3 linked regions of the Macaca mulatta genome follow. The protein of the gene in region 3 interacts with the protein of the main gene of each other region in a pairwise test. Links are inferred from orthologs where the notes say so. Each region holds a gene or a part of one and is shown on either strand. Other genes may lie near its edges.

What was found. The genes of interacting proteins can lie anywhere in the genome.
Region 1: the proteins of CTNNA3 (region 3) and PKP3 interact in a two-hybrid assay, tested with the Homo sapiens proteins (2 studies listed by IntAct). The link is inferred for Macaca mulatta from reciprocal best matches to the Homo sapiens genes CTNNA3 and PKP3.
Region 2: the proteins of CTNNA3 (region 3) and JUP interact in binary tests that used the Homo sapiens proteins (3 or more experiments, as listed by UniProt). The link is inferred for Macaca mulatta from reciprocal best matches to the Homo sapiens genes CTNNA3 and JUP.

Annotation. Positions count from the first base shown.
Region 1 is NC_133419.1:290,998-297,237, reverse strand, and holds the start of PKP3 (plakophilin-3), read right to left. Parts: upstream 3,895-6,240; 5' UTR 3,773-3,894; coding exon of another isoform or gene 3,766-3,772; coding exon 3,541-3,765; intron 2,965-3,540; coding exon 2,874-2,964; exon of another isoform or gene 2,782-2,873; intron 1,444-2,781; coding exon 1,364-1,443; intron 1,238-1,363; coding exon 612-1,237; intron 519-611; coding exon 395-518; intron 1-394. UniProt on the Homo sapiens protein: A component of desmosome cell-cell junctions which are required for positive regulation of cellular adhesion. Required for the localization of DSG2, DSP and PKP2 to mature desmosome junctions.
Region 2 is NC_133421.1:66,112,860-66,118,877, forward strand, and holds the start of JUP (junction plakoglobin), read right to left. Parts: upstream 3,895-6,018; 5' UTR 3,792-3,894; exon of another isoform or gene 1,130-3,791; intron 690-1,129; exon of another isoform or gene 493-689; intron 1-492. UniProt on the Homo sapiens protein: Common junctional plaque protein. The membrane-associated plaques are architectural elements in an important strategic position to influence the arrangement and function of both the cytoskeleton and the cells within the tissue.
Region 3 is NC_133414.1:82,012,425-82,018,490, reverse strand, and holds the start of CTNNA3 (catenin alpha-3), read right to left. Parts: upstream 3,468-6,066; 5' UTR 3,365-3,467; intron 1-3,364. UniProt on the Homo sapiens protein: May be involved in formation of stretch-resistant cell-cell adhesion complexes.

The DNA.
Region 1 (6,240 bases), on a different chromosome or scaffold from region 3:
AGGTGTATGCGGGTGTATGGAGGTGACGCGGGTGTATACGGGTGTATGGAGGTGATGCGGGTGTATGGAGGTGATGCAGGTGTATGCGGGTGTATGGAGGTGACGCAGGTGTATGCGGGTGTATGGAGGTGATGCAGGTGTATGCGGGTGTATGGAGGTGGTGTATGCGGGCGTACAGAGGTAACGCAAGTGTATGCAGATGTATGCAGGTGATGCACGTGTATCCAAACTGTACCCTACTGCTCTTCCTCTGCTGAGGGGACTCTGGACACAGTGGGGTCTGCCTGGTCAGCTTGGGGACCATGAGGGGTGGTCAGTGAGCAGAGGTCAGTGGGAGGTGGTGGGGCCCTGAGGGAGGTCACCAGGGGCAGTGAGTGGGTGGTCGGGTGGTCACCTGCTTCTTGGCCGCTGCATCACTGTAACACTTGTGCTGGATGTAGGCCGCTCCCAGCACCTGCAGGTTGGGGTCTGAAGCCATGAGGTACTTGACTGCTGAGGGCAGGTCAATGTCATCAAAACTGCGGAGCCAGGGGTCAAGAGTCAGGCTAACTTTGGGTTCAGGCTGGGCCTGTGGCAGAAGCCCCCTCCCTGTGCCAGGCCCAGACACTCACCCGCTGCTGAGTCTCTGCAGGGTTCGGTGGCCACAGTAGCTGTTGAACCCACGCACGTCCGGCAGGTGGCCCGAGTCAGCCAGGCTGAGGCTGCGCACAGATGGCGCTCGGGCCACAGGCTCCAGGATGGCCCCCGGCGCTGCCCCACCTACCCCGCGGCTCCGGTGGCTGCTCTGGAATCGCTGCAGGGTCCGCATGGCAGGGGCACGGATGGTCCGGCTCGGGGAAACCTCGGCGGCCTCGGGCCAGTCCAGCCCCCCTGCCCGGCTGGAGCTGGAGCTGGCCTGGCGCTCGTAGGCAAAGCCCCTGTAGGTGGAGGTGGCTGCAGGCTCCAGCTGCTCAGACACCAGGCTGTAGCGGTCGTCCAGGCCCCCGGACCCCAGCCGCAGCGAGCGCAGGGACAGTGTGTCATAGTCGGCCCGGCTGCCAACCCCACTGCGCTCGTGGAAGGACACAGGCCTGGCGGGCATGGGAGGGGTGGGCTGAGCACCCCCGTACCCAGTGGCCCCAAAGGCGCTGCCCCCGTTGTGGGCAGAACTCAGCCTCCGACTGCAGCTCAGGTCTACGGCGGAGCGGGAGGACCAGGAGGCTGGGCTGCAGGCTGGCTTGGCGATGGGCCGGAAGCCCTGTGGGTCGAGAGGGGGCAGTGAGGACGTGCCTGGGCTCACCTGCGTCCAGCCCTGCCGCAGAGCCTCCCCCTCTCCGAACTGCAGAGCTCAGATTGTCCCCCTCGGGCTGGGCCCGTTGCTCACCGAGGTCTTGTCCCCACTCAGGCCCTGAGAGCGAGAGCTGAAGCCAGACTGCAGGGTGTGGTACTGCCCCCAGGATGTGCCTGTGGAGAGGGACGGTGGTAGCCCAGCTCTGCCACACGGCAAAGCCCCGGCCTCCTGCCTCCTCCCCACTCCATCGCTATTCGCAACCCCAGGAGCAGCCTCCAATCCAGGGCAGGGAGGCCAGGGGCTTCGGGGCCAGGACCTCCCCATTCCTGCCATGGCCTGGTCTCCTCACATGTCAGCCCTGGTGGTCCACCTTCCACAGCCCACCCCCCAGCTGTGCCTCCTCTGCCCAAGAAGGCAGATGCGCTCACCCACTGACCTCCTGGTCGCCTGGAGGAATGTGCCAGGGACTCTGACATCAGTTCTCCAATCCCTGCCATGGTACAGCGCCCAGCCTCCTCCTCCAGGAAGCCAACCTGGCCTGCCCCAACTCACACTGACTCCTTTTGAGCCCCTCCTGTGCCCAAATCTCATCTGTGCCCAGTCACAGGAGAGTGACACTGTCTCCCTGGACCAGTATGCCCTGTTGCAGTGCTCTCTCCCATCCGGCAGAGCCCGAGGCAGGGGCCACACCCACCCCGTCCAGCCACACACACGCCAAGGGCAGCTGCGTCAGCCCGACTCCACAGTGAGTGGACAGACAGGCGGGTGGACAGAGGGCGGAGGGCGGAGGGTGGATGGAGAGACAGGCAGGAGGAGGATGGGAGGGCTGCTGTGACTGTTGGAAGGATGGACAGAGTGGTGGACGGAGGGGTGGGAGAGCCGGCGACAATGGTGGGTCCCGCAGGTGGATGGTGAGTGGGGAGAGGGATGGACTCGTGGGTGGGTGCAGAGAGGACGGGCTGATGGCGGGGGCATGAGAAGGCCCAGCAGAGCGACCACTGGCTGAGGGGCTCAGTGTGGGGTACAGGGAAGGGGGCCATGGCCCTCCCACAACTCTGCCCAGAGCTGGATGCTCTGTTGGGTACACCCCCACAGCAGGGGCCCCAGACTCACCCTGGTTAATGGGGCTTCTGGGCCGGGGCTATTAACTCTCTGACGCTGGTGAGGCCCAGCCCGGAGTAGGGGCACGCCCCAGCCTGGGGACCTCACCCCCACCCCCCAATTATAATCCACCCCCCTCTAATTGGCAGGGTAGCCAGGGTGGTAATTAACCCTTCCCTCACCGTCCTCCACCCCATGACCCCTGGGCACCCAACTTGGTCACCAGCAAGGCTGAGGCCCCTGAAGGGAGGACCCCACAGTCCAGGCCGCCGGGCCGGCCCTTCCGCTGGGTGACCTTCACTTCCCCCTGGCCAGTAGCTGGAGACCAGTCCTGGGGGTCCCCTCTAAACACCACGATGAACTGGCATCTGGGTCCCTGGCATTCTGGGAGGTTCCTCTTACTGTCTGACCTTAATCCCTGTTGCTGTAGCTGGCGAAGGAGGAAATGACGTTCTAGAACCACTGCCCTCAACCACAGCATCTGCGTGCTCCTGTCACTCACACTCACACGCATGCACACGCACTCGCGTGAGTGGGGCCAGGATTCCGCCACAGGTGGGTCTGGCTGGCACTGAGGGGTGCTCCTCCACCTGCTGTTCCCACAGAGAAATCTGGGTCACTCCAGTGGGGCCCTCCCCTCTAATTCCTCAGGGAGCCCCTGGTCCAGACAGGCCTGGCTTTCCTCCAGGACTTCCCAGCCCCCCCACACCTCTCCCCGCTTTCCTGTTCTGCTCATTCCCATGAGGTGTGGGAGAAGCGTGGGTGTCTGGGTGTCCCTGAGACCGTGCGTGAGCCTGTGCTTCTGGGGCAGTCGCGTGCGTGCTCCGGGTTTGCCGATTGAGGGGCCTGGCCCGCCTGCCGTGTGCCAGCCTTCCCTGTCATCCCCCACGGGGGAGGCTCTAGGCTGAGGACACAGGTGGGACCTGGCCAGGCTCTGTCCCTGGAGGACCCGGGGGTCCTTGCTTGGATGGGGAGCCCCACCCATGGCTTCTCCCCACGCCCGCTGGGGCGGGGTGCGTGACTCAGTGTGAGGCCTGGTGAGTCAGGAGCCAGCCTCACTGCGGCCTCTGCCCTCGCCCTACCACCTCCGCCCGCAGACACCTCTCTCCGCCACCATCGTCCCCGCCGCGGTCCCCTCTGCCCGGCACCTGCCTTGTGCCTTGGCCTACCTCTGGCAGTCTCCGCCTCAGGCTTGGGCTCAGCGGCCCCGTTGTGCCGCGGCTGCTGTCCCAGCTGCAAGAGGCGGGCGCGGACCTGCTCCTGGACGCGGGCCGCCCGCAGCCGCTCGGCCTCCGGCCCCTCGGCGCCCCGGCGGTCCAGCTGCAGGTCAGAGGGCAGCGCCAGGGAGCACACACCGGCCTCGGGCTGCAGGGCCGACAGCAGGAAGTTACCATCCTGCATGGCGGCAGGTCCACCGGGCCTAGGCCTGGCGGCCGCCTCCAAACTCAACTATCTTCACGTCCTGTCCCTCCAGGCCCTCTCCCTGAAGTCCCCGCCCCGCCAGCCTCACCCAGGGCCGCCTGGAGACAGACGCCTGCCCAGCCCTGAGCGCAGCTGGGGGCGGGGACACCTGGCCAGGTGGGAGGGAGGGGCCACCGCCTGCTTAAGGTGGAATTTGGGCGGAAGAACAGGCCCTGCATGGCCCCAGGTCCCAGCCTGGCCTCCTGCCTCCTTTTCTCCCATCCCACGACAGGGCCACGGGGGCCCTGGGTCCTTCTTGTTCTCAGCCTGTAAAGGCCGGACCGAGCCCTCTGTTGTGGGGCTGGGACAGAGGGGCCCTCTGTGTCCCGAGTGTCAGGGAAGGGCAGAGGTCCTGAGGGGGCCTATGTCCTGCCACCCCCAACATGAAGGGGAGGGTGTCCCACCCCCTGGGGGGTCTAGGGCCCTAGGTAGCTCCAAGGACCAGACAGCCTCCACGGTAGCCCAGCCTTGCTGGTGAGGCGGGGATGAGGCCTAGGAAGGGGTTGGCAGGAGACACTGTGGGGGGCCAGGGGTCAGTGCCGGGGTCAGGACACAGGATGGAGGGACGGAGCTTTAGGGTCCAACCGGACTCCATGGAGGCCCTGGTGCTTGGAACCCAGAGAGCCCCCTCCCCACAGGAAGCGTGTGGATGGACCGGCCCTCCCCCGAGGCCTGCCGACCCTGGAACTCACCCTCAGGACCCCCTCACCCCCCACAGAGGCCTCCAAAGGGCTGACTTGACCCTCTCTGGCTTCTGGGACCCTGGCACCACTGCTCCTGCCCCCCAGGCCCTCGGGTGGGAGGCCGTTCCCAGCACATGAGTCAGGGTGCAGGGGGCGGGGCTGCCCCAGGGGGTTGACTCAGAGGGGCCTGCACTCCTGTCAGCGCATGCCAGGTTGGGGCAGGAGCGGTGTGCGCTGAAGAACCAGGGGGTCTGGGAGAGCAGAGGCCGGGATGGAGAGGGAGTGAGGGTGGGGTGTGCGGGGAAGAACCAGGGGTCTGGGAGAGCAGTGGCTGGGATGGAGAGGGAGTGAGGGTGGGGGTGTGCGGGGAAGAACCAGGGGGTCTGGGAGAGCAGTGGCCGGGATGGAGAGGGAGTGAGGGTGGGGGTGGGGTGGCGGGGGAGGCCCAGACCAAGCAGGGCTTGTGCCCAGAAGGTCTCCTTCGAGCACCACAGCCAGTGGAGCCAGCAGGCAGGTTCTGAGGCCCTCTGGCCTCCGGGACAGGCCCCTGGTAGATGGGGGGGGTGGGGATAAGCCTAGGAGGGCTGGGGGTGGGAGCTGAACATCTTGACAACCCCTGGGCTTCTCTTATGAGCTCATCTGACAGCCTCTGCCTCTCTCTGGACCCTGGACCCGGGCTCTGGGCTCTCCTCTCGGGCATACCCTTCCCCTCAGTGAGGGTGGATCCAGGGTTAGGAGGCAGCATTAAGGGTGAGGTCAGTGCTGAGGGGAAGGAAGCTAGAGGTGGGAGTCGGAAATCAGCGTTGGGGGCTAAAGGGGGAGGGGAGGGCCCACTGAAAGGACAGGCGAGGCCTGGGCTGGGCCACCAGGTGGGGTCGGGGTGGTGGGGCAGGGGTGGGAGACCTACCCTGCCCATGGTCCGGATCCCGCCAGCCTCCCAGCTCATTCCAGAGGCCACTGCTGACAGCTGAGGTGTCCCGGGCTCCATCCCTGGCCTGGCGCGTGCGGGGCAGCCTCTGCGGTGGGACAGGACTGTGGGGGCCCCGGAGGGCGGGGTGGGAACGCCCAGCTCATCAGACTGGCTGATTCCCTGGGAGACGGGTTTCGTGTGGAAAAATCCTGGGAGACAAGTTTGTGCGGCACAGAGCGGGCCTGGAGGTATGTGCCTGGCATGGACTGGGCCCCGCCCTGCATCCAGGTCCACCCCAGGCCCACCTGGGGCCCTGCAGAGGCCAGGCGGGGCCGCGTGGCAGGGGAAGCCAGCCTGGAGGGCCTCTGCCGACCTTCCCTCCTCCCCTTGGCAGAGAGGGCTGCGGGTGTCCCCCAAGAGCTGCGGCGCCTCCCGGAGGATGCATGGTCCCTGCCAGGCACAGTTTTGGCAAAGCCAGGAATCTGGGGTGCACCTTCCCTCACCGCAGTCAGGCCAGAGGGATGGCGATGCCTGCTAGACCACCGCTGCAGCTTCCAGCCCCAGGCTCAGAGGAGTCTTATCTGAGCCCTGTGACCAGCCCCGAGTGTCTCGCTCTCCCTGGAGCCAGTTCCTGGCACAGGAGCCCTGGACGAGGGCTTGGTGGTGGGCTTCCTGGAGGAGGCGGTGGGCTTCCTGGAGGAGGCGGTTGTCTGTGGGGCCTGGAATCTGCATGTAGCCTCAGGTCGCTCTGGGTGCACAATCAGGTTGAGAACCCGGAACGTGAGGGCCTCGAAGGGTGAGTGAGCACTGCTCTT
Region 2 (6,018 bases), on a different chromosome or scaffold from region 3:
GGCAGAGGCTCTCGAAAGGGGGTGCAGAAAAATCCTTTCCACTCACACCTGTAATCCCAGCGCTTTGGGAGGCTGAGGCGGGCGGATCTCCTGAGGTCAGGAGTTCGAGACCATCCTGGCCAACATGGTGAAACCCCATCTCCACTAAAAATACAAAAATTAGCCCGGTGTGGTGGTACATACCTGTAATCCCAGCTACTCGGGAGGCTGAAAGAGAAGGATCGCTTGAACCCAGGAGGTGGAGGTTGCAGTGAGCAGAGATCATGCCACTGCACTCCAGCCTGGGTGGCAGAGCGAGACTCCATCTCAAAAAAAAAAATCGTTTCCAGAGCTGTATGGGGCAATACAGCAGGATGGGTTCTGGGCTTGGAATGAGAGGACCAAAACGCCAGTCTTGGTGCTGCTTGGGTCTCGCTGTACAACCTTGGGGAAATTACTTAAGTTCCTTGAGTTTCAATTTCCTCATCTGTAGAATGGGGAAAATGATACCCGCTTTTATTTTATTTTATTTTATTTTTTTGAGTCAGGGACTCACTCTGTTGCCCAGGCTGGAATACAGTGACACAGCTCACTGCAGCCTTGACCTCCCTGGGCTCAGGTAATCCTCCCACCTCAACCCTTCCAGTAGCTGGGACCATAGGCATGCACCACCATGCCCGGCTAATTTTTCTATTTTTTGTAGAGACAGGGTTTCACCATGTTGCCCAGACTGGTCTGGAATTCCTGGGCTCAATCAAGCAATCCGCCCTTGTGGGCCTCCTAATATGCTGGGATTACAGGTTTGAGCCATCCAGCCTGTTCAGCCATAAGGATTAAGTAAGAATAGTTAATGAAAGTGCTTGGTTTGGGCCAGGTGAGGTGGCTTACGCCTATAATCCCAGCACTTTTGGGAGGCCGAGGCAGGCGAATCACAAGGTCAGTAGATCAAGACCAGCCTGCGCAACATGGTGAAACCCCATCTCTACTAAAAATACAAAAATTAGCCGGACGTGGTGGCACGCACCTGTAATCCCAGCTACTCAGGAGGCTGAGGCAGGAGAATCGCTTGAACCTAGGAGGCGGAGGTTGCAGTGAGCCTAGGTGACAGAGCGAGACTCCACCTCAAAAAAAAACAAAAAGAAAAAGAAAGTGCTTGGTTTCTGTAAAGTCTGACCTTGATCTTGAGTTACCATTTGTCAAGTACTTACCGGGTAGATAGGTGTTGTATTCCCATTTTGCCAAAGAAGTCACTGAGACTCAGGCAATGTAATGAGAGACAGAGCTGGTTCTCAAACCCAGCTCAGTTCAAGCCCAAAGCCCTGTGCTCAGAACTGCCCCACTGTCCCATCTCTCCAAATAAACAGTCCTTCTGTAGACTAGTCAATTGACCGATCTCATTCTAAGGTGGCTCCAGGAAGGGAAGAAGGTTGGCAGCCCTAGCCCGACCTTTTTCGTTCCTATACACTGCATTCTCAAAGCCTCAGCCCTGGCAGCCCAGAGGTTCCAGAGGGAATGGAGTGGAGCCAGGGTGCAAGGGAGGGGTGGAGTGGGGGTGGGAGGGCTCAAATCACCCAAGCTGGGGCTTGATCTAGCAAGAAATGACTAATTGGGTCCTACCTTCTCCTCCTCCGCGTCCCCCAGTCCAGTCAGTGGCCAGTTTTCACCAGGCACCTCCTAGTAGTACTTCCTCAGTATTATCTTTTCATCACAGCCACAAACCAGATTAGCTAAACTAATCATTTAGCCAACATAATTACAATGCCCTCCCCTCCTCCACCTTGGCAGGGAGAAGAGGGAAAGCAGGTTATTTTTGCCCAAACTCCGTGCTCCTGTTGCTCCCCAGAGGTGCACCGCCCCCCTCCTCCAGCAGAAAAGGATCTGAGTTCCCACACTGACTTCCCCCTAGCCCCGGGCTGAGCGTGATCCCCACCCAGGATAAAGGGGCTGAGTCTGGGCCCCCAGCCTCACTCCCCCATCTACAACAAAGAAAGAGGTGGTAGACTCTCCCCCTCCAAGCACTCTCCATCCCCGCTCCCCGCAATCTTTCTCCCACCCCCAGGACTGAGAGAGAACCCAACTGTGGTATTCTCTCTCTGTTCCCCAAGGAGGCTGGGCTCCAAATCCTGCAAAAAGACCACACTTCAGATTGTTTTTTAAACCGGGGTAGAAAGCCTGGTCAAGATTCCCAATTCGGGAGGGTAGGGGGGGTCTCAGGAAATTGGGAGCAGGGAAGGCAGGGGCCCGATGCAGCTCTGCCTGAGGGAGTCTAGCACTGAAGAAACCTTCCCCCAAAAAGCCTTCCTCCGGTCTCACTTTCCCTGTCAAATTCTTTCAGGAAAGGGGGTGGGAAAGGTCTGTGCAGGCCTCCAGAAAGCATGCACCTTCATAATTCAGAAATCAAATGGAAGGCAAGTCCCACAGCCTCATGCTCTTTTGCCTCAATTACCAGCCAGCTAAGTAATGTGGGGGATGGGGTAGAGAAAAAAAAAAAGACAAGAACAACCACTCCCCCCACCTTCCTCAGTTTGGCCCAGCCCTGCCCCACCCCCATTCCTGGGGAGGGGGCAGAGCTTGAGAGAGAGAGCCGCTTACGCAGGCCTCGTCTGAGGGGGTGTGGTGGTCCCCGGAGGCAGGAAGAGAAGGAAGAAGCTGCTTCCCCTCTCAGCACTTTCCACCCCCCACCCCGGCCCCCACCTCAGGCCCCTGGGGCCCAGCGAAGAGGATGAAGGTGGGGGCAGGGAAGACAGGGTCGGAGCGCAGGCACCCGCCCAGGTTCAGCCAGGGGCCGGCTAGGGGAAGGGGCTTTGCACCAAGAAGGACCCCCTAAGCCTAAAGGAAGTTTTGGGCAAGGAGACAGGAAAACCCCCAGATCAAGCTGCTGTGAATACTTCCTCCTGCAAAGTTTGTTTTGGGTGATTTTTCCAACAATAAGAGGTTAGAGAAGAAGACGGGTCCTGTTCCCCTACCAACACTCTAGCAACCACAGCTACTGGAAACTGGGCCAGGTGACCCTGAATTCTTCATCCGTGCACAGACCCCACCCCCCAGACTCCAGGGCGAGCCACGGATGCCAGACACACCAGCTGGACACTGGGTCGAGCCCTGCACCCACCACTGTCACTCCATCCCACCTCCGCTGAAGAAGCCAGAGCCCGGCTCCCACCGGAGTGGAGGGAGGCGCCGCAGGTAGTATGGACGAGGCTCTGGGAGTTGGAGGGCAGGGCCTCTGGACTCCGTGCGCTCACCTGCTCGGCAGGTGGGGCCAGCGTCGCTAGGAAAATGTGTGCTCGGCCCCCACAGTTGGGCAAGCTGGGCGCAGACAATAGGGCCCCACCCAGGCCTGGGGGAGTAGGGAGGGAGGGAAAGCGAGGATGACGCGTGGGGTGGGGTGAGAGTGGCCCCAGAGACCAGCGACAGCAAGTTTCCCAAACGGTAAATTCCTGACTGCAGCGTGAGCCCTGGGACGCAGTCAAAGCAGGGCAAAGTCTCCCCCACCAGCTCAGGGCGAGAGTCAGGGACGCGGCGTCGGGCGAGGGGCGCGGGCCCCGGGGGAGGCACGACTCCGGAGGCACCTGTCCGGATCCCTCCCGCCCTGCTCAGATCTCTGGCTCGCGGAGCTCCCAGGCGCGCTCTGCCCAAACCGCGCGACCCCCAGGTCGCCGCGCCCAGGACCCCAGCGCGCCCCCTGCCGCCGGTGCAGGGTGGCGCTCCATGGCACCCGCCCTCACCTGCCCAGAGACGGCAGGGACCGGCCTCGCGGGCGCTCGCCACCCCTTCTCTCCCCAGCGATACCTGCTCCCAATCGCCCGCACCTTAGTATGGGGCCTGGCCGGGCCGGGTCGGGGTCGGGCCGGGGTGGGAGCCGGCGCAGGCAGCTAACTGAGCTCGGCGTGGTCGGGCGGCGGCTGCTCCGGACTCTGGCCAAGGCAGCAACTCAGTAACCGAACAAAAGGCAAAGAGACCTGACAGCCAAGCCACGCCCCTCGCCACCTCGAAGCTCCGCCCCTGGGGGTGACGCCCACCCTCTGGTGCGAGCTCACTGGCTGTCTCGCCTGACTGTCCCGTCGAGGGGCGGAGCCTCACCTCCAGTCCTCTTCCACGGCCGCCTCTGTTTATCCGCTTGCCATTGGCCCCAGGGACTGCCAGTCGGCTCTAGGGATGGACTCTAACTTGAGGTCTCATCCTAACACTGCACCTATTGGCAGATAGAAAGTTACTTCCTCCTGATTGGACAAGGGGCTGTCAGTAAGACTAAGGAAAAAACCAATGGAAGGGATGGGGTGTGTCTTGCCCCACCCTTGCTCTGAGCAGGTGAGACTCATTACTCTCCCCTTCCCCCTACCTGTCCAACAGGTAAGTCAGGGGATACTAAGGGAAGGGACAGACGCCTTCACCGGCCAGCCAACTCAGCGTCAAGCATGATGCTTCTTTGGGCTTATTCATCCTTGCCCCAAAGTAGTAATCACATATTTGTATAGCATTTCATAGGCTTTGTGCTGGGTTGGGATTTTTTCCCCCCAAAGATGGAGTACTCCTGGGATTTAGAATTAGAAGGCCAGGGTTTGTGTTCTCCCACTTAGTATGATCTTAGACAAGTTACTTCACCCTGTTTCTCCTCATCTGTAAACTGGATACATTAGCCGTATCTACCTCACTGGAGTATGTGGGGATTAAATGAAGTCAGGTTTGTGAAAGCACTCGGAAACTGCTAAAGGTTAGAATTTAAATTAATGGTATTTTTGTTTTAATTATTGTGACAGCTCTGAAAAAATAGTTAAGATGAGAAAACGACCCTCATTGTAAAGATGAAGAAACCGAGGTTCAGATAAGTCACAAAACTACAAAGTGGCACACCCCAAGCTAGAACCTCCTTCTCATTTGAAGGACCATCGAACCAGCTGTTCCCTTCATGGAACATAAAATGCATAGACATAAAATGTCAAGGCAATGGGGGAAGGGGCAGAGAAAAGGCACAAACACTGGGAGGAGAGACAGAACAATTAATTGGCACAAAAATACAGTATTGGTGTCAGGAGGCTTTGATGGGTTTGGAAACATCAAGCAGCAGATCTGAAAGAAACCCAGGCATGAAAGAAACGGGGCAGGCCAAGGTGGGTGGATAACCTGAGGTCGGGAGATCAACACCAGCCTGGCCAATATGGTGAAACTCCATATCTACTAAAAATACAAAAAATTAGCTGGGCGTGGTGGCGGGCAACTATAATCCCAGCTGCTTGGGAGACTGAGGCAGGAGAATTGCTTGAGCCCGGGAGGCGGAGGTTGCAGTGAGCTGAGATCATGTCACTGCACTCCGGCCTCAGCGTGACAGAGTGAGACTCCATCTCAAACAAAAAGAAAAAGAAAAAAAGAAACTGGGTAGCACATCCCTCCACGATAGGAGAGCCTGGGGTAGAGATCAGAAAGAACTTCTCGGCCAGGTGTGGTGGCTTATGCCTGTAATCCCAGCACTTTGGGAGGCCAAGGTGGGCAGATCACTTGAGGTCAGGAGTTCAAGACCAGTCTGGCCAACATGGTGAAACCTCGTCTCTACTAAAAATACAAAAATTAGCCAGGCATGGTGGTGGGCGCCTGTAATCCCAACACTTTGAGAGGCTGAGGCAGGCAGATCACCTGAGGTTGGGAGTTTGAGACCGGACTGGCCAACATGGTGAAACCCCCGTCTCTACTAAAACTACAAAAAATAGCCGGCATGGCAGCGGGCACCTGTAATCCCAGCTACTCAAGAGGCTGAGGCAGAAGAATCACTTGAACCTGGGAGGCGGAGTGAGCTGAGATCATGCCATTGCACTCCAGCCTGGACGACGGAGTGAGACTCTGTCTCAAAAACATAAAAAGAACTTTTCACAGGCAGCTTAAGAAGACAAGGGCACTTCCTTTCTGTGGTTGATGACATGAATGCTGGTCGTGGTTGTATGGTGTGCCAAGGACCCTACAAACATTCCTTCATTCAGCACTTGAGTATTCAGTGTCAACTCTATGTTAGGCACTGGTGAACACAGAAAATAAAATCTGGTGACA
Region 3 (6,066 bases):
GGAGGTGAGCAGGTGAGAGAGAAAAGCTTCATCTGTATTTACAACCATTCCCCATTGCTCACATTACGACCTGAGCTCTACCTCCTATCAGATCAGCATTAGATTCTCATAGGAGCATGAACCCTACTGTAAAGTGCACAACCTACTGTGATGTAGGTTGTGTGTTCCTTATGAGAATCTAATGCCTGATGATCTGTCACTGCCTCCCATCACCCCCAGATGGGACTGTCTAGTTGCAGGAAAACAATCTCAGGGCTCCCACTGATTCTACTTTATGGTGAGTTGTGTATTTCATTATATATTACAATGTAATAATAATAGAAATAAAGTACACAATAAATGTAATGCACTTAAATCATCCCAAAACCATCCTCCCTCCCCCAGTCTGTGGAAAACTGTCTTCAACAAAACTGGTCTTTGGTGCCAAAAAGGTTGGGGACCACTGGTGTAGCCTATGCTCCTAGACTACAAACCTGTACAGCATATTCCGTAGGCAACCGTAACACAATAGTGTTTGTGTGTATAAACATAAAAAAGATACAGTGAAAACACAGTATTAAAGTTTTATGGGACTACTGCTGTATATGTGGTCCACCATTGACCCAAATGTCATTATGAGGCACATGACTGTAATTAGCTATGTGAACTTGGGCAAGCTATTCATGGCCACAGTTTCCTCCTGTAGATGAAGAGATTGGACCAGCTTTAATGGTTCTTCCAGCATTAAAATTCTATGATTTTACAAAATGCTCCCAAAACCATCAAAATAATTTAAAATAAATTTCTGATTTGCTATAAAAGAAAAAAGAAATGCCATACTGCTCCCAATCACATCCCCTGTTCCTCCCAGTATTCTGTCTGCCTCTGAATATGGCACCAAGAAGGGTTTTCTGAGAAAGTCACAACATATTTGCCTTCCACACCCAAATTAGCTTAATAAAAACTGCCACATTAAAAAAACAGAAACAGGGAGTGGCAGGGAGGAGACCATCAGGATCACCAGTGGACCTTTACCAACTGAAATTTGTATATGGTTGCAAAACAATGTTTTATGATATGATTGTCATGAATTAGGAACATATGTATTTTACTTCTGTATTCCTAACTTGCTGCTTACTGCATTAAATGACAATGCTAAAGACTTAAGGTTGGAGCCAAAAGAACTCATTTGGATTTGGAAATTCACACTTTTGCAGGGGGGGGTGGTGAGAGGAATCAACAATTTTGATCTCTTGGCTCATTCTAGCATTATAATAAATCAGCAAAGAAAAAAATTATTTCACTGTTTTAAAAGCCTACATTAACTCAAACAAGCTAAAAGTTAAATATTAAATATAGGTATTTCACTTGAAATGTTGCAAAGACATTTTAATCACAATTGTTCTCACAAAATATACAATAACTTTATAATCGATTATTTTCCCCATAGTCTTGCTTTCCCCTCCCAAAATAAAGAAAGCCCTCTGAAAGTAAAAATTTTGATTGAGCAATTTTAACCATAATCAATTTCCATTACTGTCAAGCTTTGAAGCAATTGAAGGGATTCTTTAAAGGGAAAGGAAAGGTTATGGAAGAAAAGGAGCTTTCAGTAAACATTATCATCATTCAACTGCACAGAAGGAAAGATAAAAATGGCTTCAAGATCAAAATACAATGAGTAAAATTAGGTAAAGTTAAATTCTAGGTTATCTCAGGGCATAGGTAAGGGAGGAGGTTACCCCTCATATTGTCTTATGCCCAATTTCTGCCTCCAAAGAAAGAAGTAAAAACTAAAAGGCAGAAATGAAATCCACTGGCAGACAGCCCAGCGCCACACCCTGGGCCTGGTAGTTAAAGATCAACCCCGATCGGTTATGTTATCTATAGATTACAGACATTGTATAGAAAAGCACTGTGAAAATTCCTGTCCTGTTCTATTCTGTTCTAATTACTGGCACATGCAGCCCCCAGTCATGTACCCCCTGCTTGCTCAATCCATCATGACCCTCTCACGCAGACCCCCTTAGAGTTGTAAGCCGTTAAGATGGACAGGAATTGCTCACTCAGGGAGCTTGGTTTTTGAGAAGTGAGTCTTGCCAATGCTCCCAGCTGAATAAAGCCCTTCCTTCTTTAACTCCGGGTCTGAGGAATTTTGTCTGCAGCTTGTCCTGCTACATAGGTACAATCTAAGGACAAGATTTAAAAAACAAAAATGTTCTTGCACAATACCTATTGGAAAAAGTGCAAGTGAATTTTGTGTTTATGATAAAATCCATGCCTGGCCATATTGGGAATTATTTTGTTCCCATGCAGTATTCATAGAGAAAATGGGATCCCTCCTGTAGCTCTGCCAAAATAAAAGAATAAAATTCCTGAAAGAACAATCTCAAATCAGACAAAATTTATCCTCACAATTCTCAAATATTCTGCTCCTCTTCCACAATTAAATGGGTGTAGACATTTAACAATACACTTTGGTTTCGAGAAATGGTATGGAAGGTCTCAAGAAAAGTTACACACCTTAACTAGCAGAACCACAACACAGAGGCTTCCAAAGGTGGAGCTGCCTTCCTGCCTTATTATGAAACGTACCATTATGAGAAGGGCAGTGAGTTTCCATGAATACTCCTAGAAACTTAAACTAGTGAAAGGCCTTCTGTTATTTTTCTCAAATTGTCCATCAACAGAACTTGGCGCTTCTGTGGCGCCACGTGACGCAGGTAGTGGCTTCGGAGGCGCTCTGGAATCAGCCGCGCCAACCTGCGGCACAACCCCGGGCCTCAGGCCTGAGGTGGGCAACAGGACCAGACCTCGGTTCTCAAGGCTTTAACGAAATAACGCTGGTAAAGCATCTAGGGCAGAAGCCACACAGAACACAAGAAGGCATTAATGGCATTTGAAGGTATTGAATGCAGACTAATGCGCAGAACTTGGTTCTCAGACCACGTCCCCGGCCACCCATCTCCTGGGAGAGCGGAGAGCACACTTGCGGCCTGACGTCTCCCAGCTGAGCTCGGCAATGAAGGGATCACTGAAGAATTAAAAAATGGGAGACGACTGCTTGGGCAGAAGCCCGCGGGGGACTAGCCCACGGGCAAGTACCCCGACTCCTCACACTTCCTGCCTCAATGCGCAGAAGAAAGTGTTCTGAAGGCGACGCCCCGCCAAGGCGGGAAACGCCGCGGAAGACGCTTCTCTCGCAGAAATGCCAAATTTTCGGGAGCGCGGGCCCGCAGCACGTAAGAGAACAGATCTTTTTGTTTCACGGCCCTCTGGTAGACTTAATGAAGCGGGAGGGCGAAAACCAGGTCAACGACCAGAAGCCAGGCAAGGTTGCGATTTTCGAAGCACAGCGAAGGGAAGAGTTTCTAAGTTCTGAACGTACCTCTACTCAGGGTGGTTTCTATTATTTCTTCGCGTCTACCCTGTAGTTCCCGCACCCGGAGCCCTCAGCCCCGCCGCTTCTCGGCGAGCTGAGCTCAGAGGGTGCGTGCCCCGCCCGCTCGCGGGCCTGGCGTGAGCGCAGTGGTTGTTACACTAAAGTGTCTCCGCCTCTCTGATCTCCTCGTGGCAGCGATGGCCGAGTGGTTAAGGCGTTGGACTTGAAATCCAATGGGGTCTCCCCGCGCAGGTTCGAACCCTGCTCGCTGCGGAAGCGGGTGCTTCTGTCTTTTCGATTATTTTTAATAAACACCTTCAAATGAAAACTTTTACTCTTCTCTCTGTATTTTCAATGCCTGCCAGCTAAATGGCGCGCCAACGGAGTGGTTTTATACGCCGTAGAAAAGTAAATAAATGTCAGTGCAAACACGCACTGTTTACACCAAGAGGAAAATCCTTCCACTGCCCTAAAAGGCAAGGTAACTAACTCCTCGTGCTCCATGAGAAGAGCAAGCTGGCAAAATAGAAGTAAAATGAATATAAATACTGATGCAAGTTTTCGCGCTATCACAGCCTGAGCAAACTATCAGCTCACTAAAACTAAGAACAACGCTATGCCACCTTCCCTTCCATCCCAGAATCACTTCCAACGGTTTGCAGACCACATCCAAAAGTGATATGAAATGGGAGATAATAAAAGCAATTTTAAAGTTCTACTTATAAAGCATCTTAGACACATCCACATAATGTAATACTATGCATGTAAGCATTAAAATGATGTTAATGATGTGGGAGGGCCTTCCCAATGCATTGCCCAATGCAAAAACTAGGACAGATCGAAAAACAGCATTATGATAACATTTTTGTTAAGCAATTCATGTATATACCCATCCATGTGGGAAAAATGGGAGAGAAAGAGAGAGAGATGGAGAATGAATGGAGGCTGGAAAGAAATACACCAAAATGTTAGCAGGGATTATTATCCCTGGGTGCTGTGATTTGGGAAGATTTTTGTTTTCTTAAATAATTTTTTCCTTAACTGGGTTTTCTAAAATTTCTACATGGACCCAGTATTATGTTTTAAATAAGAAAATTGTGAGGTTAGTCTTTGGGACCCTACACATCCCCTGTCTGCTTCCTGTAACCCACTTTCACCATATCTCTCCCACCCCATGCTTCCCAGGCGCTCTTACGGACTTACCTGATACCTCAAGGCTAGGGATAGTTTTCTGTGGTACCTAAGTGGATTCCACCCACACAGCCCCATCCTATTTGAGACTTGGCTGAACACACACACTCACCATATTTACATTTTCAATCCGTCCTCTCTGCCCAATCCCCACCCTTTCTGCCCCCATTTAAGTCACTTACGAGCAGCTGCATTAGTTTCCTAACTGGTCACCTTTCCTGTATCAGTCAGGATTACATTCAGCTGCAAATAACAGAAAATCCAATTCTAGTGACTTAAACTCATAGGGATTTGTCTCTAAAAACCTGGGAGATTAATACCATTCCTGTATCCAAGAGAATGAAATAGTCTATAACTTATTTGTTTGCATCTAAAATTTTTAAAAATACGTGACACTATATTAAAATGGCAATCCTGGCCAGGCGCAGTGGCTCATGCCTGAAATTCCAGCACTTTGGGAGGCCGAGGCGGGTGGATCACCTGAGGTCAGGAGTTCGAGACCAGCCTGGCCCCATGGTGACCCCATCTCTACTAAAAATATGAAAATTAGCTGGGCCTGGGGGCAAGGACCTGTAATCCCAGTTACTCAGGAGGCTGAGGCAGAGGAATCTCTTGAACCAGAGGCGGAGGTTGCCGTGAGCTGATATCACGCGACTGCACTCCAGCCTGGGCAACAAGAGTGAAACTCCATCTCAAAAAAAAAAAAAAGTGAATCCAAGAAGGAGAGATATCTAAAATTATAAATTAAAACATTCCATCAAAAAGGCAAATTAATGATCAATTTTATTTCTAAATGGTTCTCTCCAAGCTGTAAAGTTAGCTTCATTTGACAACTCTTTTTTCTTGTGAAATATCTTATGGTTTCAAGAAATGTTTTCAAATAGTCACTTGTCACCATTTTTTAAAAAAAGAAAGAAAGAACAAAGAAATCTGGGAATAGGAAATTCTCAGATGGAACAGGAAACAGGCCTCTTTCCATCTTTCTGCTCTGCCATTTTTAATATGCATATACAGCTTTTCATCTCATAGTCCCAATATGGTTGCTATACCTTCAGACCTTACATATGCATTCAACCAAGAAGAGGAGAGACAAGACCCTCTTTTATATCTCATTTACCCAAACTATGTATCATGGCTATCATTAGCTAGAAGGAATCTTGGTGAAGTTTAGCTGGGTATATTGCTCCCCAAATTGAAATTCGGAAGGAAGAAAATCAGATGGTACTAAGTGAAAATCAGTTACGTCTGCCACAGTCCTATAACAGGAAAGTCAAAGCTTGTAGACATTGGGCCTTCAAGACAAGTCCCCTGCCTTCCCTTCTGACCTTCCCACCCTTCTCCTCCTTCTCCTTTGGAGTTACTGGAAGACCTCCCAGCGCTGCATGCTGGCTCATGCCTTTGGGCCTTTTTAACATGTTCACATGTGACTACCTGGAATATCTTCACCCTTGTCCCCTCACTAGAGGAAAAGGGCTACCTAGCATTTGAAATCCCTTCTTATTTAGGGGACTTGCTTT